Linked DNA regions of Lepisosteus oculatus. The protein of the gene in region 1 interacts with the protein of each later gene in a pairwise test. Links are inferred from orthologs where the notes say so. Each region holds a gene or a part of one and is shown on either strand. Other genes may lie near its edges.

Region 1 (10,451 bases):
ACGTGTGTATTTGTGTCTGTATGTGGCCTGTGATGGACTGGTGTACGTTCTACCATGCGTATGTTGCTTGTAGGGATAGGCTCTGGCTCCTCCGCAAACTTGAATTGGATATGTCAACAGTGACATTAAGAGTACCTGGTTGAACCCTATGCGGCGCTGAGACTGTAGGCAGCTAGTGTTTGGTGTCTAAATCCCAAGGGCAAAAGGCAAAAATCGTAGTCGAGGTAGGAGATCTAGGTTAGGTATCACAAGAGTCAGGTCGTAAGTATCCAAATCCAAAACGCGAGACGAAGTCGAGGCCGGAGAAAAAAACAAGGTCGGTAGCCAGAAATCAGGTCGATAATAGTAAACGCACACAAGAGAAAGCCAAAGGTTATTCTCAATAGTGAGTGGGGACTGAGTGGAGTGAGAGGGTAAAAATAGGGAAGAGCATGAGGAATGACAATTGATTAATTAGTGCGCAGGTGTTGGGGGCGAGAGGTGCTTGTAGGAATGCGGTTCATGACAGGATAAAGCAGTTAGAAAATGGATGGATGCCTGCCGTAGTTTATTGATCAGCAGGGCATTTCTTGAAAGATCTCAAAGAATGATCTTGAATACCCTGATGGGAAAACCAGTTCTAGATACCCAGCAAACTTTGCCTTAAGAGGTGCTTCCTGGTCTTATTCCACCTGTACACACACTTCCACTTTCATTTACATCCTCAGGTTCACATTTCAAACCTTATCTTAACAGTATTTTTGGCCATTCTCTCAAGGACCTTGTAGATTCCTGTTTGGAATCAGAGACATCACGTTTTAATCTGTGTATAACATGACTCTCAGGTAAGAAAGTTACCCAGGAGTCTTGAACTTGAATCTGGTCCCTCTTGAGCTCCTTCCAGAATGAGTTCAATGAGGTTGGGCTTGAGTACTACAAAATTGTAGCATATTCACATGTGATTTAAAGTTTGCACATTGTACTATATATCCTTGCATAGGAGTGACATATATTGAAGGATAGGATATATTGAAGGACTTAATAAGAAATAATTATCTATGCCTATTTGAAAAATATTGAACCCATATAAGGAATTAACTGTAATTTTTCATTTAAAAAATAACATTGCTCAGTCTAAGCATGATCATTTATGACTGCTTTAAATAAATTAATTCAGTTACATACAGTATTGATAGAAATATATCCTAATTTCAAACTAAAATAAAGATTTTAAAAAAAGAACACACTTTTAAATAAGAAAGTGGCAAAGCATTTGCTTCCATGGTAACTTTCCAATAAAATGTATCTGCTAATGGAGTGAATTCCATGGTGACATGTTTGTTTTGAAGCTGTATAGTGTGTTACCAACCAAGTAGAGACCTGTTTCATGATTACATCAATAACGTGCCATTACCTGACATAATAGTGAACTGTTTTAACAGGCAAAGTGTTTACATTACACTTCAATAAAATATTCAGTATTAGGCTCATATAAACTTATATATTTTCTTCTATGGTTGTATATCAGCCATAACATAATTTGTTCTCAAAGTAGATAAAGTACTAAAATAGACAGGGCAGCTGGGAGATTGTGGCTTCCTAATTATTTCTCTCTGGATGTAGCTGTTATCCAATGTTGTGATTGAAGTTATTGAATTGACTCACCAATATAGGGGTTTTATGGTTATCATTTCTTTATTTTATCTTTTATTATTCATTTCAGAATGATTTATTTTATTAATTTAAAAATTAATTACTTTTGTCACACAATTAAGAATCCGTTCATTTAAGTGGTATGTATGCATAGCTACTGTAATTCCAGAGGTGAACTATACTTCCTGCTTTAATAGTAGCTGTGTGGTCATTATTTAAATACGAAATTTAAAAAGATTAATGGAAAAGCTACTTATCCATAAGTACAGACTTCATGCTTATATTGAAAAATTAATTCAAATACAAACTGGTGATTGAATGCCCAGGTCCAAAGATTTCTGATAAAAAGACAATACTGTACATATTTTTAAATGGTACAAAAGTATTTCAGTTACACCAGTGAAATAAATATCTCTGGCTTGTGTGAATATTACAATTTAACTGAATTGTATTGTGTACTTTATAGTTCAATGGATGTTAAAATTTTGTTTTAGTATTGAAGAGGTCCTTTCTATGTGATATATGCATTTATAATGAAAGACAGTTTGACATTTTTGATACAGTATATTGAAAATTAGGGAAAATAAAGGTGTATTTGTGTGTGAAGGGAACAATACTGTTATGTTGTTTAAAAATGTCACTTAACATTAAAAGTTGTAATTATACTAAATTATGCTCTTAAAATGTGGCAAAACAAAACATAAGAAGTACTTAGTTATAGGTTTATTCCATGCTGAAAAAAAGAAGAAAGAGAACACAACATTTCTGCCGTGGAGCCTTCTTCAGGTGTGAGAGAGACAGGGCAGTAGGCAAAGGTAAAGTAGCGGGAGAAGAAAGGTTGGGAGGGAGGAGGAGTGAGAGGCGGGAGCAGGGGACAGAAAGAGAGGCCAATCAAGAGGTGTGAAGTCAGAATGGGTGCAGAGAGGTGTGAAATGAAACTTCCAATGAATGGAGAAAATTTAAAAGAACAGTAGTCTGTCGTTAAGGGAAGGGAGAATGTGTGATCCTAGCTGCAGAATAATTTTAGTTTCGGTGGTCTTTCTGATGTATGAGTTTGGAAAACCGTCTTTGAGAACACAGACGGAGAGATTAGAGTGGTCGTGGCCGTCAGAGGTGAAATGAGAAACAATGGGCTTGGAGAGATCTTTAATCTTCACAGCCCTTATGTGTTCTCTGAAGCGGTCTCCGAGTCTCCTTCCTGTTTCTCCAATGTAGATGGCTGGGCATTTACTGCAAGAGATACAGTAAATAAGGTTGCTGGAGGTACAAGATGCTGTCTGGGTGATCCGGAACTGTCCTGAGGGGCCTTGAATGAGTGTGGTGTTGGCTGTGTACTTGCAGGTGATACAGCGGTACCATAAGAAGTACTTGATCAGTTCTCAAGTAATCCATATGTGAAAAGAAAATCAAATTGAAGACTAATCAAGAAGATTGTTATAAATATACAGTATGCAAATATACCCATAAAAAAGAAGTTGCTCCTCTCCTAAAGGTTAATAATTGATTACAAGTGTTACATTTTAGCTTATTTAGTTTTTTTAAGATTTGAAAAGTTCATACTTGCAGTACATAGTGTATAGCAGTCAAATACAATTACGTATATCAGTATACAGTATAAGATAAACTTTTTAAATGTTAAAAGTTTTATTAAACTATAATTTATATATATAAATTATAATTTTCTACCTATGTTTTGTTGACATAATAATAATAAAACATTGTTTGCTAGTTTCAATTTAGCTGTGAATGTATGTTTTATAGCTAATTTAATAAGACTGTCTCATTCTATTCCAAGAATAAAATTGTTTTACTTCACTCTGGATTAACAATAACTACTTAATTAGCATGGTGCCCTTGCCATTTGCATGTGCTGCTAACAATGATTATTTGCTCGTTTTTTCATTCAAGTTTGTTTCTCTTCGCTAAAGTCAGTGCATACGGTATCATTGCTTTAGTATCATTATTGTTTAGTTTCTTATAAATGAAATCAAAAGCCTAAATTCCTTTGCAAATGACTGCAAAGGTGTTTTGTTTCAGAAATTTTATATACAATTTAATTTCAGGGACATATTTATCAGTTGTATTAAGGACATGCAGCTCCACCTTCTAGTGCAAACTAAAGTTACAGTAGATGTAAATCTAAGGGGCTGAAAAAGCAGTTGTGTGTTCAAGATAACCCTCCCCAGTTCACTGTACACACTTGAAGCCAACTTGTGCTGTGTTAACCTATCCTATGATTTACATTGATATGCATACAAACATTCCAAAAGACGCAAAGCTCTGTAGTTGACGTCAGATTTTGCAGTGCATGCTGTACCTTGTTCTTTCATTCGTCTGTAGATTACTTTCAATTGTAACAATTCCTTTTGTGGATGATTAAAATATGCCTTTTGTAGTTCTCTTCTTAGTGGGGAAGGGGATCATACTGCAAGTTAAAAGTGTCTGCACTGCATCATTAAATGATGATGTCATTAAATGACATTTAAATGAACAATTTAAATGTGCAAATGTAAAGGATCAGAGTTAGCATTTGGATCTTGTTTTCATTATGGCAAATTACAGTACTACTGTATGGCAAAATTAGAATGTTTCTGTGTGCTCAATGAAAGGGACTTCTTTCTGTTTTTGTAAGGCAGACAACCTAAACTATGCCATAATGTACATCATTTCTTCATGAATGAATGACCAGAGGAAAAAAAATCCCAAACCAAATGTCCTGTGACTGCTTATATTAGATGTTGTACTGTAGTACATCAGAATAGAGTGATTCTTGAAGATACATTCTAAATAATTACTTTGTGTAATTTTGTCTGCTTCCTAAGGAAACAGCCCTCACAATTCATTGATATTATCATGGTGCTGGTTCTTTCATTGGCAGCAGTAAACAGTATTATTTTGATTCAACTGCATGCAATTGCAGTGAAATTAGCTTCTCATATTGGTACAAAGGCATCAGGAAAGGAAAACTTTCACAGAGACCTCATTTTTAAATTGATACTGTATTCTGTCTAACCAAGTTGTACTGTAGTTTTGTAGAAAATACTGTTAGAAATACTTTGTTAAAAATGTGTTATGCTCAATTGTGCCCCTGGCTGTAATCTGTAACAAACATAACACCTATTAAACCTTTTGTAGTGAAATCTCCATGTCTAGTTATTTATTCTGCATAAACATTGACACCTTTCCCATGTTAGATTAATGAGAACTCAAATTCGGTTGTGCACACTTGACTTCAAACAAGACCACATTTTTCTGAGTTATCAAGATTCAACCTAAAAACAATATTTGAAAGTGTAGCACAATACAGAACTCTCATATATACTATACAGTATATACTTTTAATGCTTTGTGGTTCTGTATTTTGCTGTGTGCATTTGGTCATGAAAGGGATTGGTAATTCTGGTCTGCAGAACCTCAGCCTACTGTATTCTTGGCCTTAAATAAGTTGGGATGCTTCAGCAGAGATCAGTCCAATATTGCCTATACTGTATGTTCCCCCACTTGGTTCATGTACAGTAATTGAACATGCCATGGCAGAGCTGCAAAAATGCAGAAGTTCATTTGCATTTCCCCAGCTATAGTATGCTAGTCTCTTATCTCTTGTCCCAGCTGCAAGTTACTGTATACCGTAAAGAAACTATATTCAGTGGTGGCTTGCAGAAGTTCCAGGTAAACCTCCTGTGCTGGGATGAGCACACCTGTGTGTGACTACTATGTGACAGCTATAAAGACCTGGATTGTGTGTGTGGGCAGGGCAATGCAGTGGGGGTTGGGGTAGAAATGCGAGTCCTCCAGAAGACAGGAGGGTGTGGTAGGACCTCCACTTTCCACAGTAGTTGACGAATGACACTGCATGGAATGAGAAGCTGTCTTTGTCTGGTTGCTCGGCTGTTGTACCCAGGCTGTGGAGATAACATCAGATGGTCTTCTCTGGGTGCCTGCACACGTTCTGCTACATTTGGACTACAATGTCAGGCTTGCTTTCCTTTCCACATTTTATAACTTGAAATGTCTGTTCTGTTGACTAGGAGAGCATACAGTACAGCAGAGGATGAACACATAAACACTTGTCACTCATTTGAGAGCAGACAGCTTCTTACACCTTATTCCAGTGGATCCTAAAGTATCGTTGAAAACGGCATTACTCGTGTTATGTTCCTGCTTGTTGAAAATGTTACTGTTCAAACTTGGGGGGGAAAAATCTACTGGTTTTCATCAGTTTCCTGTCTGTGAAATGGCTGCAGGCTTAAACATTTAACCTGCTACAGCAGGCACTTATGTGATTATGATGTGGCTTGAACTGCCTGTTTAAATCACAGTGGGTGTCTATTTAATTTACCTCTCTCTCTCTAGGTTGATTTGAGTAATATCCTCTCTACACAGACTTTGTCGAAGCCATTGTTTTATTGTTTGTTTAAGGATTTGGAAGCAACACTTTCACCACCAACAATAACAATAATAATAACACAACATGCGGATAAGTAAAACCACACTAAAGTGGTCATTTCCGTTACAAAAGTGATGTTTGTGAACAAACGGCATAACGTTTTACAGTATTCCTGAAGATCAATAATAAATTTCGCGAGTTCGAAACTGATAGCGCTTGCTTAGTACATGCTGGAGAATTACGAAATACCGGAAAGCAGTGAATTTCAACATCGCACAGAACATACCTGGCACAACTGCACATGAGCAGAAGTTGTGAATCATGTCAGTCGGCAGGATTTACTTTACCTGTTAATGCATTTATCTGCAGCGCAATAATCCCCCTCCCAGTGGTGACGTCAGAACCTCCGCTGGCTGAGAGACTTTATTCGGCTCAATTCTCGCCACAAGTAATTCAGGAGAACGAAGGAGGAGCTGTCAAAGTTTCTGTGCTAAGGAAAGAAAAGTAACGCCGCTGACGCCTTCCCAAAATTTCCTACTATTTCCCTTTGACAGCTAGAGAGGGAGAAAGTAGAGGCTTTATTCACCACACAAAATTTGTCAGTACCAGTATGGAATAAAAAAGAACATATTTGAAGGAGAAGAGAAGAAACGAAGAGCTCAAGAAAACTCGCAGCAATGCAATTCGAAATTGCGATCGTCCTGTCTTCCTTGCTCACTCTTGGCTGTTGCAGTATACAGGACAAGAGAGGTAAGTGAAAGAAAGATAACTTGTACAAGACCTTTCCTGAAGACATGCAACTGTTTGTTAATAGTAATTTAATGACCCGGGAGTAAAGTTTTAATACACTAAGCTTTGAAACAATCTCGTATTGCTTTGTTCGCGTTTGTATATCTGTAGTTTGTTCAAGATACAGAGGCAGCGTGGGAAACTGTAGTACCGGTACAGTGCTTCCTTGTTGCAGGAATGAGGAGTACAGCAGATTACTTCTTACCTTACACTAGAATTTGTTCTGCGTTTGTCGTATGAGTATCGAATTAACATCAGTGCAAAGCCTTAGGAAATAAAGAGGTACATATTATTATTATTATTATTATTATTATTATTATTATTATTATTATTATTATTATTATTATTATAGTTTCAAAAGACCTACAAGAATGGGATGCCCGCAAAGTGCAAGGCAACTGATAATCACAACAGGGAAAACTGATATGTTAACTTTTTTTACGGAGTGATTCTTATTTTAAATGAATAAATGCGTTCCTTAATGATCAGGCAAATGTTATTTCGTGGTATCTGGATGGATACGTTATGGTGTTTTAGAGAAATGTATTGCGTTGTAAGTCATTTAGTAATCGAGGAATGGAGAAGCGCTATTGTGGAGTATTATGCTGCAAAAGTGAAGGGAAACGTTAAGTATTTCAGTATTTGCGGACTTAAATAATAGCGAACTATATGAAATGAAGTTAATCATCTACTGTATTTTACAAGAAGACGTCGCACAGGTATATACAGTAGTCAAACAAGCATCAGTGCCAGTGTACAATGTATAAAACAAAGATTCCTTCATGTCCAATTTCAAAATCACATTTTTAATAAAATGGGTAAGACAAAGTCATTCTGTTTACGATGTCATACAAAACATATCCAGATCATTCGTGAACAAATATCTCGCAATAAAATAGGTGGCACGACGACTACTACAAACCACCGAATAAACCAGCAGGTTGAAGTGTTCCGAGTGCCCAGTCATCTCGTCCTGAAATCGAAAGTACAGTAATTCTCAGAAAAGATAAAGCACACCAAAAGCAAATGCAATGCCAATTATACGTTTTATCTGTGTTTGAAAACTTTAAATTGGTATCATTTTCGTATTGTCCATCAACTCTTTGAGTGTAACAAGATCTTCATTGTTAGAGGCTGGCAGAATCCACAGTAAGGGGAGTAGTAGGTCAAACGCTACTGTGCCAGTATAAAGTCAATGGCACATCTGTCTGCTGATCCGAAAAAAAAAAACCCCGCTTGAAATTCTGAGAGTTCTCTATAGTCAATATACAGGAAAAGTAAATAATGCAGGAAATTTGTTTTAGTGGTAGAATTTCTTAAATTTAAAGGCAATATTGGTTTCTCGGATCGGTAGGATTAGTTAAAACCAAGTGGAGACATCAGCCCCGCAGGATTCCTCTTTCGAAGTCTTGTTGATGAACTAGAGCACTTAACTGCGCAAACCTTGTGCCTGCGACGTGCAAAATAGATAAAACATGTACTTTAAGGATTTTTTTTTCAGAGAAGAGAAATAGCACAGAAGTTTACTAAACATTTACTTAAAATGCGCATCATATTATGCAAAATATAGTATTAATAATGTTAAAACCGCTTTCTTTCAAGGTCTATTTGATTTTATTGTATAAACACTATTTCAAAAACAGGGTTATCAGAGTCTTAAGTGTTATGTCATTTGAGATAGAGAAGAGATAGGAGTCAAAGTTTTCCTTCCTGAATCCCAGTGGAATAATGCTTTAGTTGAATGACAAGTTGATAAGGTTATGGTTAGCACTGCTGCCTCGCAGGTCCTGGGTTGTAGGTTCAGTGTCTGGAGTGTGGTGCCTTCTGTGTGGAGTTTGCATGCTTGCCCTGTGTTTTTGTGTGGCTTTTCTAGGTGTTCCATCTTCCTCCTTTCAAATGCAAGCCGACTCGGTTAACTAATGTCTCAATGGACTGGCATTGTGTCCTGCCTTGCAGCCTGTTTTTCTAGTCTAGGGTAGTCTCTGAGTTTCCATTATGAGAATAAAAGCTTTTCTGATAACAACTGAACGGTGAGGTAATGTGCCTCTTTTTTGAGGTGACCTGAAGTGATGTAAACATGAAGAAAGTTATTTATATAATATAAACACAGTACAAATTGTGCCTTTTTATACATGAGATTAGGAGGAAGTTTAAAACCTGATGTCCTTTTTACATGATCAAAAAACTCTACCATTCCTTCAGTTTGATTCTACTTGCTATAAATTCCACAAGTGGCTAGCAAAACAGCTAATTTCTAGAGAAACTGTGTTTTTTTGTTTTAGGTAACTTTTCTAAACCTTTGTACAGTATTTTCCTTCATGTGCTGTACTCCCATTTGTCTTTTCAGACTCTGAAGATGTATTTCACAGCATGCAAGTAACCTGTTAAAACAATGACAATGCGTGTTGTTTTCTCTAAAATTAAATTCTAGGCAGAGAGTGATTTTTGGGTTTGTTACTGAGTACACGGGCCAATTCTCTCTGGTGAACAGTTGGGAGATGTCTGTGTTTCGGGTTGTCTCAGTGCGCTCTGTGTTGCCAGTTTGGGCAGATGGATGGCAGATCGAGTAAGACCATTCCAGTCAAGAAAGCCCCTTGTTTCTCTGCAGGGTCAAAGCTCATGGTGGGGGACAGTCTGAAATTCTAGGTAGCTTTGGCTTCAGTAGATCGATGTCTGACAGTCTTTGTATGTGACTTTTTGGTGACTGGAATCCCTGCCCATGACGAACACATGGTGAACACATGAAGAACACAGGGTCTTTTCCAGCATCTGTTTGCTGCCTTGAGCCTCTGTGGCTTCAGTAGGTTGATGAAATAGGATGTTGCTTGTGTTAGGTACCACTTCTAAAAGATTGACAAACGAAGATTTAAATTAAGTATCCACACAAAAATCTCTCTAATGTTCGACACCTTTTTCTCTTTTGTGATCATCACAGATTTGCACCCTTTTGTGCTTTGGTTTAATTAAGTTTTTTGTTATGTGTTTTATGAAGCTACAGTAAAGCTGCCAAAAAAGATAAAATATGATTTCTTTTCAATTAACAGAGGTGTGCATATAGTATGTTATCAAGGAGGAGTCAGAAGAAAGTTTAAGGCATTCTATGTCTACAGAAATTGTTTTATTTTATTAAATAAAATTGACTTTTATATTATTGTTAGAGAGATGATATGGCATATTTAAGGTATTTGAATGTGTCGGCTCAAACAATGAAAAGTCAAGTCTGTTGCCAACATGAACAGGCAGCCGTTACTATCAAATTGAATGATAATGTTTCCTTTAAGTTGACATTTGTCATCAAAGTTTTATCATCCCAATGTGTAATCAGTTTCATTTTCACAAGCTTGTCTGTTTATTCCTGGTAAACTCTATGATTGTGAAATTAACATGCTGCCCAAATGCCTCTCTACATGAAGCACAGGTTACCTGTGCAAGTTTAGTGTTTCATAAGCAAATATTATACTATATATTATAGTTTGTAGTGTAACTTTTTCCTGTTGTAAGATGGGTTTAAGAGACAGTTAAGTTGGTATTGTCAGTAAACAAAAAATGTAAAAGGTCAAAACAATGTAACATAGTTTCTTATTGCTATTAGAAATATTAAGCTTTTTTTTCTGAATTAACTCGGTCCATTCTTTGTGTCTTG
Region 2 (10,561 bases), on another chromosome or scaffold:
GCCCAAAGGGGTTGGGCAGCCAGTTGACCTTGGACCACTAGAGGTTTTTTTCTCCTTACAGAAGAGTTTTTGGTTCCTCCGTTGTCTTCTGTTCTGTATTCACAACATGTATGGTCACTCGCTTCGTTAAGCGCCTTGGGGCAAACTTCCGGGCCCAGTCCAGCCGCACTGCGGCCGAGCGCTGGTCCAGTCCTGTGACCATTCCTCCACGTCCTCACCGTCCACTGTGAGTGACCCTTCTTCACTGCTGGCAAAGCATTCGAGCAGGAAAAAGTCTGACCAGAGACAGAGCCTGCGGCTCACAGCACAGCTCTGGTCACTCTGCTGCCGGAAAGACACTGCAGCTCCACAGTCCCACACATTCCTGAGCTTCAAGTCCCACAGTGCCAGGCTGAAGGACTGGGCCTTTCTAGTCTTGAACAGAGCAAACCAAGAGGGGACCGCAAAGGCACTGAAGTCCATCCTGCGGGTGTCCTCAGAACCAGCAGTGAAACTCCAACATCTGAAAAGTACTTGGAGGAGAATTTTAAACTGAGAACTGGCAGTGCTTTACACAAAGGGTTGTGAGGGTCTGGAGCAAGCTGGGATAAACTACACTGGCTAGTTCAGCTATTTGGTCTCACCAGTCGTTCCTCCTTTGCTCCTGCTCAGTGTGCTGCAGTAGGTGTGACCTGGTGCTCAGTAACAGTGAACCAGGACCTGCAGAGAACAATAGCCAAAGGATTTCACACACAGGAGGGGACCCCCTGCAGGACTGGGGAGTCACTCTGAGCCTCACTGTGGGCACTGCCAGGAGGAGTGATACCCTCTCAGGAGGAGTGGGGTACCAGGAGGAGTGATACCCCACTGGGGCCCTGCCAGGAGGAGGCTGGGCAATGCTGTCTTTCTGACGAAACACAGAGATACAGATCTCTGCTCTGTGTCGGATGGAGTTTTGAAACTCTTCCTTTAACGAAGTCACTTTTGCAATACAAGCCACACAGGCAGGCAGGCTACACCACCTGCTCACCCATCTCACACAGTCAATAGTGACTTAAGTTAAAACTTAAAAACAGAACAGAGAACAGAGCCCCCCGCCCCCAGCGCCGCTCGAGAACAGAGCCCCCCACCCCCAGCGCCGCTCGAGAACAGAGCCCCCGCCCCCAGCGCCGCTCGAGAACAGAGCCCCCGCCCCCAGCGCCGCTCCAGAACAGAGCCCCCCGCCCCAGCGCCGCTCGAGAACAGAGCCCCCCTCCCCCAGCGCCGCTCGAGAACAGAGCCCCCCTCCCCCAGCGCCGCTCCAGAACAGAGCCCCCCGCCCCAGCGCCGCTCGAGAACAGAGCCCCCGCCCCCAGCGCCGCTCGAGAACAGAGCCCCCCTCCCCCAGCGCCGCTCGAGAACAGAGCCCCCCTCCCCCAGCGCCGCTCCAGAACAGAGCCCCCCTCCCCCAGCGCCGCTCCAGAACAGAGCCCCCCGCCCCAGCGCCGCTCGAGAACAGAGCCCCCCTCCCCCAGCGCCGCTCCAGAACAGAGCCCCCCGCCCCAGCGCCGCTCGAGAACAGAGCCCCCGCCCCCAGCGCCGCTCGAGAACAGAGCCCCCCTCCCCCAGCGCCGCTCGAGAACAGAGCCCCCCTCCCCCAGCGCCGCTCGAGAACAGAGCCCCCCTCCCCCAGCGCCGCTCCAGAACAGAGCCCCCCTCCCCCAGCGCCGCTCCAGAACAGAGCCCCCCGCCCCAGCGCCGCTCCAGAACAGAGCCCCCCGCCCCAGCGCCGCTCCAGAACAGAGCCCCTGCCCCAGCGCCGCTCGAGAACAGAGCCCCCCGCCCCCAGCGCCGCTCCAGAACAGAGCCCCCCGCCCCAGCGCCGCTCCAGAACAGAGCCCCCCGCCCCAACGCCGCTCGAGAACAGAGCCCCCCGCCCCAGCGCCGCTCGAGAACAGAGCCCCCTCCCCCCAGCGCCGCTCCAGAACAGATCCCCCTGAGTCCAGCGCCGTTCTAGTGCCACTCGAGAACAGGGTCCGGGTCCGAGAATGTCAGCTCTGGCTGCTTCCATACCACAGTCCACCAGTATTTTCCACACTCATCAGCACACGCTCATCTCAGTGCTGTGACTTCCTGCTGCACACAACAAAGCCCTTAATTACAGGTCTGATTACTAATTGCTGGTCTGGCACCAGTAGCAAGGTTTTGTCATAACACACCAGCACTCTTACAGACACAGACACACTGCTCAGCTGTCACAATCTTCAGGAGGTCTGCGCAGCTGGGCAGGTCTGCAGAACAGCCGCGCTCACGCCCTGCGCAGCTGGGCAGCTGTACACAGCCATTGCTAAATTAAAACCAGCATGTAAGGCCACTGAGAATAAGCATCAGCCTTCTGCATCAGGCCCTGCATGGAATCACAGATCAAATTACACTAGAGGCAGCAGTCTTGTGCACTTCTGTACTCAAAGAGTGGTGGGAGTCTGGAACAAGTTACCCAACCCTGCTGCTGGAGATGATTCTCTGACATCCTTCAAGAAATGGCTGGATGAGATCCTGCTGCACAGGCCAGATGGGCCGAATGGCTCGTTTCTCAGTGCTTTATAAATCCGAGAGCCGGTGGCAATCCTTCAACTCCTGTGGTCCTGAGAGCTGGCTCACAAACACACCTTGAAGTCAGTCAGTCTCTCTGGTGCGGCTGGACTGCACCCAGCCCCGCTCCTCAGGGGTGCAGGAGGGGAGACGCCTGGTCCTCCTCGGCTGGGCTCTGGTCAGAGCACACTTCTCCATGCACGCCACAGCCTGTGGCCTTGTTCCCAGTAGCGCCTTGAGCTTCTGCACAGCTCTTCGCTCTAAAGCCAGTCCCAGCACGGCCCAGGCAGAGCAGACGAGCTGACCGGACCAGATCCCAGCACCGCATGCAGAGGGGACGACCTGACCGGACCAGATCCCAGCACCGCGTGGAGAGGGGACGAGCTGACCGGACCAGATCCCAGCACTGCCCAGGCAGAGGGGACGAGCTGACTGGACCAGATCCCGGCACTGCCCAGGCAGAGGGGACAAGCTGTCCAGGTGGGATGGAGGCTGAGGAGCTGAACTCCTCAGATGCTGGGTGAAGGTCAACAAGGCTCCGACAGCTCAGGAGAGGGGCTTTGGAGCGCCAGGAGTCAGGCGGGATTCCCCGAGGCCTTTCCTGCACAGCAGCGCAGCTCTCCCACTCCCACTCACGCCTGTCGAGCAAGGGATACTGGACAGAACCAGAGGGGCCCAGGAGAGCGAAGGGCGGCGCTGAGGGGTTGCTTGCCGATGAGCCCCTGCGCTGCTCTGTCCGTCCTGGTTCACTGTGTCCTCAGGCACTGGGACAGACCCCCAGAGACGGCGCACGGGGCCACCTCACAGCAGCTGGATCGCCGCACTGGCCAGCAGGGGTCTGCTGCCCAAGACCCCCTCCACTCCAGGTGACAGCCCACGCCCCCGTCACTACTGAGGCGCAAGAGCAATCCTGACAGGACAGAGGGCTAAACAGACTGCTCTCGCAAGCGGTGCGCGCAGCCTGGCGGCCCGGCCCGGCCGGGAGACAGCGGCCGCATGCCTCTGCCCCCGCCAGCCGTGTTGTGTCAACACCGCCATCGCTACACGCGCGACGCGACATCGAGATCGGGTTACGGGCGACAATATTCATCTGCTGCGAGCTCTGCGGCGGCATCAGGGTCCGACTCTGCCTGCCCGGGCACCACAGGGGAGTGAGAGGGGGGCGGGGGCGAGAACTGTCCGGGAGAAGAGAGCTGAACCCCTTCCTTCCCCCCGACCCCACAGCTCGCGACCCTCCCCACGCACGCTTCCATCTTTCTCCTCGCGACGCTCCCCACGCACGCATCCATCCCTCTGCTCGCAAATCGACTCCCCCTCCTCCTCCCCGGCGATAACAAAGCGCCGCTGTGCTCACCGCAGGTCTCCAGCGCCGGTCTGGTTACAGTGTGTCCGCGCTGCGGAGCCCAGCTCCGGCCCTCCCTCCCTCTCTCTCAGCCTCCCTCCCTGCCTCCCAGCTAATACCGGGAATGTGATTCTCCAGACAACAGAATTGGGTGCGTTCCCTGCGCGCAAGGACCGGAGTTACATAAACCCGCTCTCGTCCTGCGCGTCAGCGAGTCCCCGGAGAGAAGCCAAACCACAGAGCAGGATCATATTGGGGTTTGTTTTTTAAAAAGAAACACCCAACTTACCGCTCTCGCCCCAGAAATTCAGGCTGGCTTCCCTGCTCTTCCCCCGGATCGCTCCTCTCTCCCCAGCCCCTCTCTCCACACCCCAGCGCGACTGGGGTCGGGGATCACGCCGTACACCACGGGGGCGAGCTGGGGGGCTCTTAACGGTGCCTCAACCCCGGGAGTCCAGTCTCCGGCCGCCGCGGGCTTCTGTCCTGTTCTGCGTGTGATTGTAATTCCTGCTTGCTGTATCCGGGAAAGCCAGTCGCAGCTCCTACTCCGCCATGTTGCGTCCCTGTGTCGGGAATGGGGGCCAGTGGATCCCCGGCCCCTCCTCCGCCGAGCCGCTGCGGAACACCGGCGCCCCCTGCTGGGAAATATGAGCAATGAGCCGCTGAGCGACGACAAAAAAAAGTACATGGAGTTCCCTCCGTTCCAACGCACGTTTCATACAGGAGGGGCTGCGCTTCAGAGGGTGAGACACACGGTGGCCATTCTGCACCTGCAGCCCAACCTGGGAGACACACAGGGATCATTCTGCACAAGCAGCCCCACCTGGGAGACACACAGCGGCCATTCTGCACCAGCAGCCCCACCTGGGAGACACACAGGGATCATTCTGCACCAGCAGCCCCACCTGGGAGACACACAGCGGCCATTCTGCACCAGCAGCCCCACCTGGGAGACACACAGGGATCATTCTGCACCAGCAGCCCCACCTGGGAGACACACGGGGATCATTCTGCACCAGCAGCCCCACCTGGGAGACACACAGGGATCATTCTGCACCAGCAGCCCCACCTGAGAGACACACAGGGATCATTCTGCACCAGCAGCCCCACCTGGGAGACACACAGGGATCATTCTGCACCAGCAGCCCCACCTGAGAGACACACAGGGATCATTCTGCACCAGCAGCCCCACCTGGGAGACACACAGGGATCATTCTGCACCAGCAGCCCCACTGCACACAGCTTCAGGGAATTAGGGAGAAACTGCTGCAGCAGGTGAATTAAGAGAAACTGCAGAGAGTCAAGTCTATGCAATAGCCAACATGCAGTCACATACAGTTGGTGTACACATAGTGGGTGAACTGAAAATAGTCCCCAGACAGTCTTCGTTATCTCATTTTCTCAGTTCAGAAAGTCCACAATTATGCCCTGCAGTGTCTGGACTGGTTCTGCCTGCTGGCAGGTGATGAGGGCCAGGTGTGTTTCACTCAAAGGAGAGCTGGTCTGCGTGACGTCAAGTGCTGAGCACAGCGGGGCTGAGTCCCGGCAGGGCCCATCTCTGGGCAGTGAGCCCCTCGTCTGCAGCAGGACCTCCAGCTTGGCCTCAGGGGAGAAGACCAGCGACCTGTGTGCTGGGCAGGGTGGGAGCTGATTGGACTGTGTCAGCGTGGCTCAGACTGCAGGGACTGTTCAGCGCAGTTTGCTTTCCTCTGGTGGTAGACTGGAGACATTGCAGGCAGACTACCAGGAGAAAACACACAGATGACCAGCCCTATAATCCATAGGTATGGTACAGAGGTGACTTGCTCTAAATGCATGCTAATTACATCCCAAGTTTTTGTTCGGTCATTAAAAAGCACCTTTCACTCCACTCACGCGTGAGGCAGAGAGAGAGCCACCTGTTAATTGAAAAAGCTGCAGAACGAGGCCCAGCTGGCCTGTGTGAGTAAACAGCAGTCTGAGGGAGTGAGATTCCACTCAGGGAAGGGTGCTGTCAGGGTAGTGCAAATTCAGACCAATGAATTATAGCATTGCCAGAAATAATTAACACATTCAGGAACATTTACAACAAAAATATTACTGGATGTTTACAGATATCAAATAAAACATATTGAGCAATATTGAGAGACAGGTTTACTGTTCCTCAGGCTGGGACAGGAGATCACATACTGGGCTGCCAGATCAACTGAGTTCCCTCCTCCCTCTCCCAGTAGGATTGGGACCCGTTGTGACTCTGGCAGGTGTGGGAACTCTGGGATTAGATTTCTGAATTTCAGGAAGAATGTTTCTCTAATCCCAGAGTATCTGTCACAGTGCAGTAGGAAGTGCACCTGTCTCTACAGTGGGAGCACAGCCTGTCCTCTCTGGACAGCCAGGTCTGCCTGTGTCGCCCAGTTTCTATGGCCAGGCTGTGGTCACTGAGCCTGTACTTCATTAGGGTCTGTTTCTTTTTGCTGTTATTTAGCTTGGTCAAACATTCTGCTGGCGTTTGTTGTCTGTTTACAGTCCTGTAGCATTCCAGTCTGTGTTGTGTGTGTTAAGGTAGTGTTGTTTGGTTTGTGCTGTGTTTTGGCTGATTTTTATTAATGTTGTTTCTGTTGCACTGTCAGAAGGTTAGTAAGTGTCAGTGAGCTTCAGGACCAGCTGGCTGAGGGGATCTTAACTGGGCTAAGCAGGGCCTGTGGTGGTAGGAGCTCAGGTCACTACTTTTTAGGTGAAACCAATATTTTATTGTTTTTATGTCAATTCATTAACAATGGCCATTGTCCTAAATTGGTCCTGCATGCATCATTAGGTGGTTTCTCTGTTTTTACAGAGCTCTGTGTGCGGGGCTTTTATATGGTGTTGGTCCCATTTAGTGCAATCCTAGTCCTGTGAGGAGACCCCACACTTCACTCTCTCTGACAATACACTCCTTCTTCATTAGTCACCTGGCACTTCAGAGTTCAACCCAGTTATCTGTCACCTCCAGTTCTCAGTCTTCACCAGCTTTCACTCCACACTGAAACTTCCAGGTGAATCCTGATTCTTTATTCTTTAGTTATCTGGGTCACGTTTGTCTCCAGTGGGGATTCAGTCCTTGAATCCAGACACTACAAGATTGAAGAGTTCGAACGTTATATTCAGTGCTAAACAAGTTGGCTTCCCAGTTGTAGCATTCTAGTTGGAGTAGAAGATGTTTTCGACTGAGTGGGATTGTTTTACTCCATCTCTGTTCTGCAAAGGATGAACCTCGGCTCTAAATTCTTCAATATGATCCGTTTGCCACGATACACCAATGTCCAGTTGCAGCAGTCAGACCGATTCAGGTGTGTCACCTTGTCAGGAGCACCTGGACAGGTTGGTCCCTTGTCTCCTCTGCTTCTGGCCCTGGCGGCTGAGCCCCTAGCAAGCGCGATCAGGTCTCACTGCACCATTCATGGCCTTGGAGCCGGTGGATCCCCACGTGTGATCTCACAATATGCGGATGCCGCAATGATATACTTTATTAATTTCAGCTCCTCCTTGCCAGTTCTGTCCATTTCTTGGGAGCAATATGGATTGGCCTCACGCCAGTCCTCCCTTCGTCTGGATCCCAGAGAATATTCTGGAGTTACTAAGCAAGCCGACAACGGCCTGGTATTTCTCTCCAGATGACATCCCACGCTGGAAAAGCTGAAGCTGTGACTGCAGACAGCGAAGTGGAAATATCTGCCTGTATCACTGCTTGGCCGGGCAAACTGTGCCAGGTTGTATGTACTGTACTGTACTGCCAAACGTTTTATACCTTTTCACACTCCCAATATCACACCAAACAGATTTTTTTAACAACAGACTCAGCAGGCTAGTATCCAGATGTAAATGGAATGGAGAAACATTTAGGATTAAGGTGCCCCATTTATCCCGCTGTCTAATCTGCTGGAGAAGTAGGCCAAGCCTTTCATTGAACACCTGCAGGCTGTGGTTGTTGACAGGAAAAAGTCACTTCAGTGCACCCAAACTAAATCTATTTTACCCCCCTCTCTTCTGCCTGCATTGAAGGGAGGAATAAAGCAACTGTACTATAATATTGCTGTTCAGACAACCGACAGCCTGTGTGAAGAGAGTGTACGTCTGTCTTCTGGGAACGTTTAAAATGACTTTAATACGACTCCCAACCAATACTTCTTGAAGTCTTTAGGTGCGTAGTGAGGAGACGTGGAGTGATATTAGTGTTGTCAGGAGCTAGGTGAAGATTCCGATCAAACAGCAACAAAGTTAAATCTTAATCACTTAAATCACTTGGTGTTTTGGGTGTCAGTCCGACCTGAGTCTGTTCAGACATTGATGATCTACTGAGATCCTGAGCCACCGCACCGGCCCCCTTTCAGCTTCCAAGCCATGTTTGCTCTCCTGTGTTTCTTCACCGTTTGTTCTGTGTCATTCTCAAGTATAATGTTCTCATCATGCAGACACCTGCGTCAGCTCTGCAACCCAGGGCTCCTGGCTGCACCCCCTCCTGAGCCCTGCTGGGTGAAACTTCCACCCGAGAGCAGACCCTTCACACGGGCCTCCAGGAAGTCCAGATACATCCCCCACCTTCTACTGACTTTCACACTCACACTCATGCTTGTCTGCAATCAAGCCGGATCCATCATTCAGGATCCCAGCCATCCCGGCCACAGACTGTTCTCCCCCTGGGCTCTGGCGAGCGGTACCACACTGTTAAAGCACGGCCCACCAGACTCAACAACAGCTTCTGTCCCACCACTGTGCGCATCCTCACCAGCTAACTGCAGGGCCTCAGACTCAATACACAGATGCACTCCACAGTTTTTGCATGCTCTACTATGTTTATTTTTGTCTCACTACTACATATTCATTGTTCCTGCTGTCTACATTGTGTGGTGTTGTCTGTTGTACTGTTTATGTCCCGAAAGATCAGCGTGATGAAGAACTCCAATGCACGTGTACAATTGGCAGTAAATTCTTCTGCTCTACTCAGTGAAATGCAGATATTTCTCTCTGCTGTACGAGTCCCTCTCTCTCTTCTCACTCCCCCTTGACCCTGGAAGTGCAGCTTGTAAGCTCTGTTGCAATGACCTTTTGACACCAGAAGGTGGCGCTGGACACCAGCGCTTTGACGGTAGAGGTACAGAAGGAACGGGCGGACTGGCAGGACGCTGTTACCTTCCCTTCTCCAGAGGTCTCTCCAGCTCAGGGGCAGCAGCCCCGGGGCAGTGGGCTGTAAACACAGAGCAGAAGGTATGTGTACAGGTGTGCCCTCAGGACCTGGGGGAGTTGAGCAGAGTTTGCAGTTCCTGTTGTCATGGCATCGCTGAGGGCCTCCCTGACTCAGCGTAATCGAGTGAGGATCCCCTGGGCGTGGATCACCCGCTAGTCACAGGAGTGATCGGAGCAAAGTACTGTAGTAAAGCACTTCCCTGCTGCTCTGAGCGCCTCGGTCCCAGTGTGTCAGGTGTCTGTCTGCATCCCCCTCTGCTGACGGTGTGTCCCTGCTTGCCCCCTGCCCCCTACCTGCCCCCCACCTACCCCCTGCGCATCCCCTTCCTGCCCCCTGCCACCTACCTGCCCCAGCCCCCTGCTCATCCCCTTCCTGCCCCCTACCTGCCCCCTACCTGCCCTCTGTCTGCTCCCTGCCTGCCCCCTGCCCCTTACCTACCCACTGCCCCCTGCCTGCTCCCTGCCCGCCCCCTACTCGCCCCCTGCCCGCCCCCCGAGGGAGAGGAGGGGGCTGGACTCTCTGCAGCATTACCAGACGCGGTGTGTACTGCCGATCTCTGCAGCCTCTCTCTCTCAGCGCGTCTGTGTGTCAGTGGTTTTCAGGAACCAAGCCCAGGTCACACACGCCACACATACTGGTTTCCTCATTAGCACGAGGCGAACACAGGCAGCTTGACAGCGACAGAGCCACCGGAGAGACAGCCTGGAGCTCAGGAGTGCTGGGGAGTGAGACAGCACTGGAGTTCAGGGGTGCAGGAGTGACCGAGAGAGTGAGACAGCACTGGAGCTCAGGAGTGCAGGAGTGGAGAGAGTGAGACAGCACTGGAGTTCAGGAGTGCAGGAGTGGAGAGAGTGAGACAGCACTGGAACTCAGGAGTGCTGGGGAGTGACAGCGAGAGAGTGAGACAGAACTGGAGCTCAGGAGGGCAGGAGTGGAGAAAGTGAGACAGCACTGGAGCTCAGGAGTGCTGGGGAGTGAAGGCAAGAGAGTGAGACAGCACTGGAGCTCAGGAGTGCTGGGGAGTGACAGTGAGAGGGTGAGACAGCACTGGAGGTCAGGAGTGCTAGGCAGTAACAGCAGCAGCAGAGATGGCTCCCTGGACCCTCACTACCAAGGAGAAATATGGAGTGGGTAAGTGGCCAGCTTCCCTGCAACTCGCCCTCCTCTCTCTCTTTCACTTCACTGCAGCTGAAAGGTGTTGTGTTACAGGAACAGATACAATTGATTTTTAAAGAAGTAAAACTGATGGATAAGTCACATGTTGCGAAGCTTTCTGAACTGACTGTTAGAGTTATAGCTTCTCCCCCTGTCCACAGGGCTGGCGGGGCTGCAGGGCAGTTATACAGTAGATTCTCCCCCTGTCCACAGGGCTGGGGGGGCTGCAGGGCAGTTATACAGTAGATTCTCCCCCTGTCCACAGGGCTGGGGGGGCTGCAAGGCAGTTATACAGTAGATTCTCCCCCTGT

The links.
Region 2: the proteins of egfra (region 1) and ptpra interact in binary tests that used the Homo sapiens proteins (3 or more experiments, as listed by UniProt). The link is inferred for Lepisosteus oculatus from reciprocal best matches to the Homo sapiens genes EGFR and PTPRA.

Annotation. Positions count from the first base shown.
Region 1 is NC_090701.1:19,949,679-19,960,129, forward strand, and holds the start of egfra (epidermal growth factor receptor), read left to right. Parts: upstream 1-6,338; 5' UTR 6,339-6,696; coding exon 6,697-6,769; intron 6,770-10,451. UniProt on the Homo sapiens protein: Receptor tyrosine kinase binding ligands of the EGF family and activating several signaling cascades to convert extracellular cues into appropriate cellular responses.
Region 2 is NC_090698.1:74,842,176-74,852,736, forward strand, and holds the start of ptpra (receptor-type tyrosine-protein phosphatase alpha), read right to left. Parts: upstream 4,493-10,561; 5' UTR 4,182-4,492; intron 1-4,181. Other genes in the region: dedicator of cytokinesis protein 2-like, read left to right, coding at 10,184-10,226. UniProt on the Homo sapiens protein: Tyrosine protein phosphatase which is involved in integrin-mediated focal adhesion formation.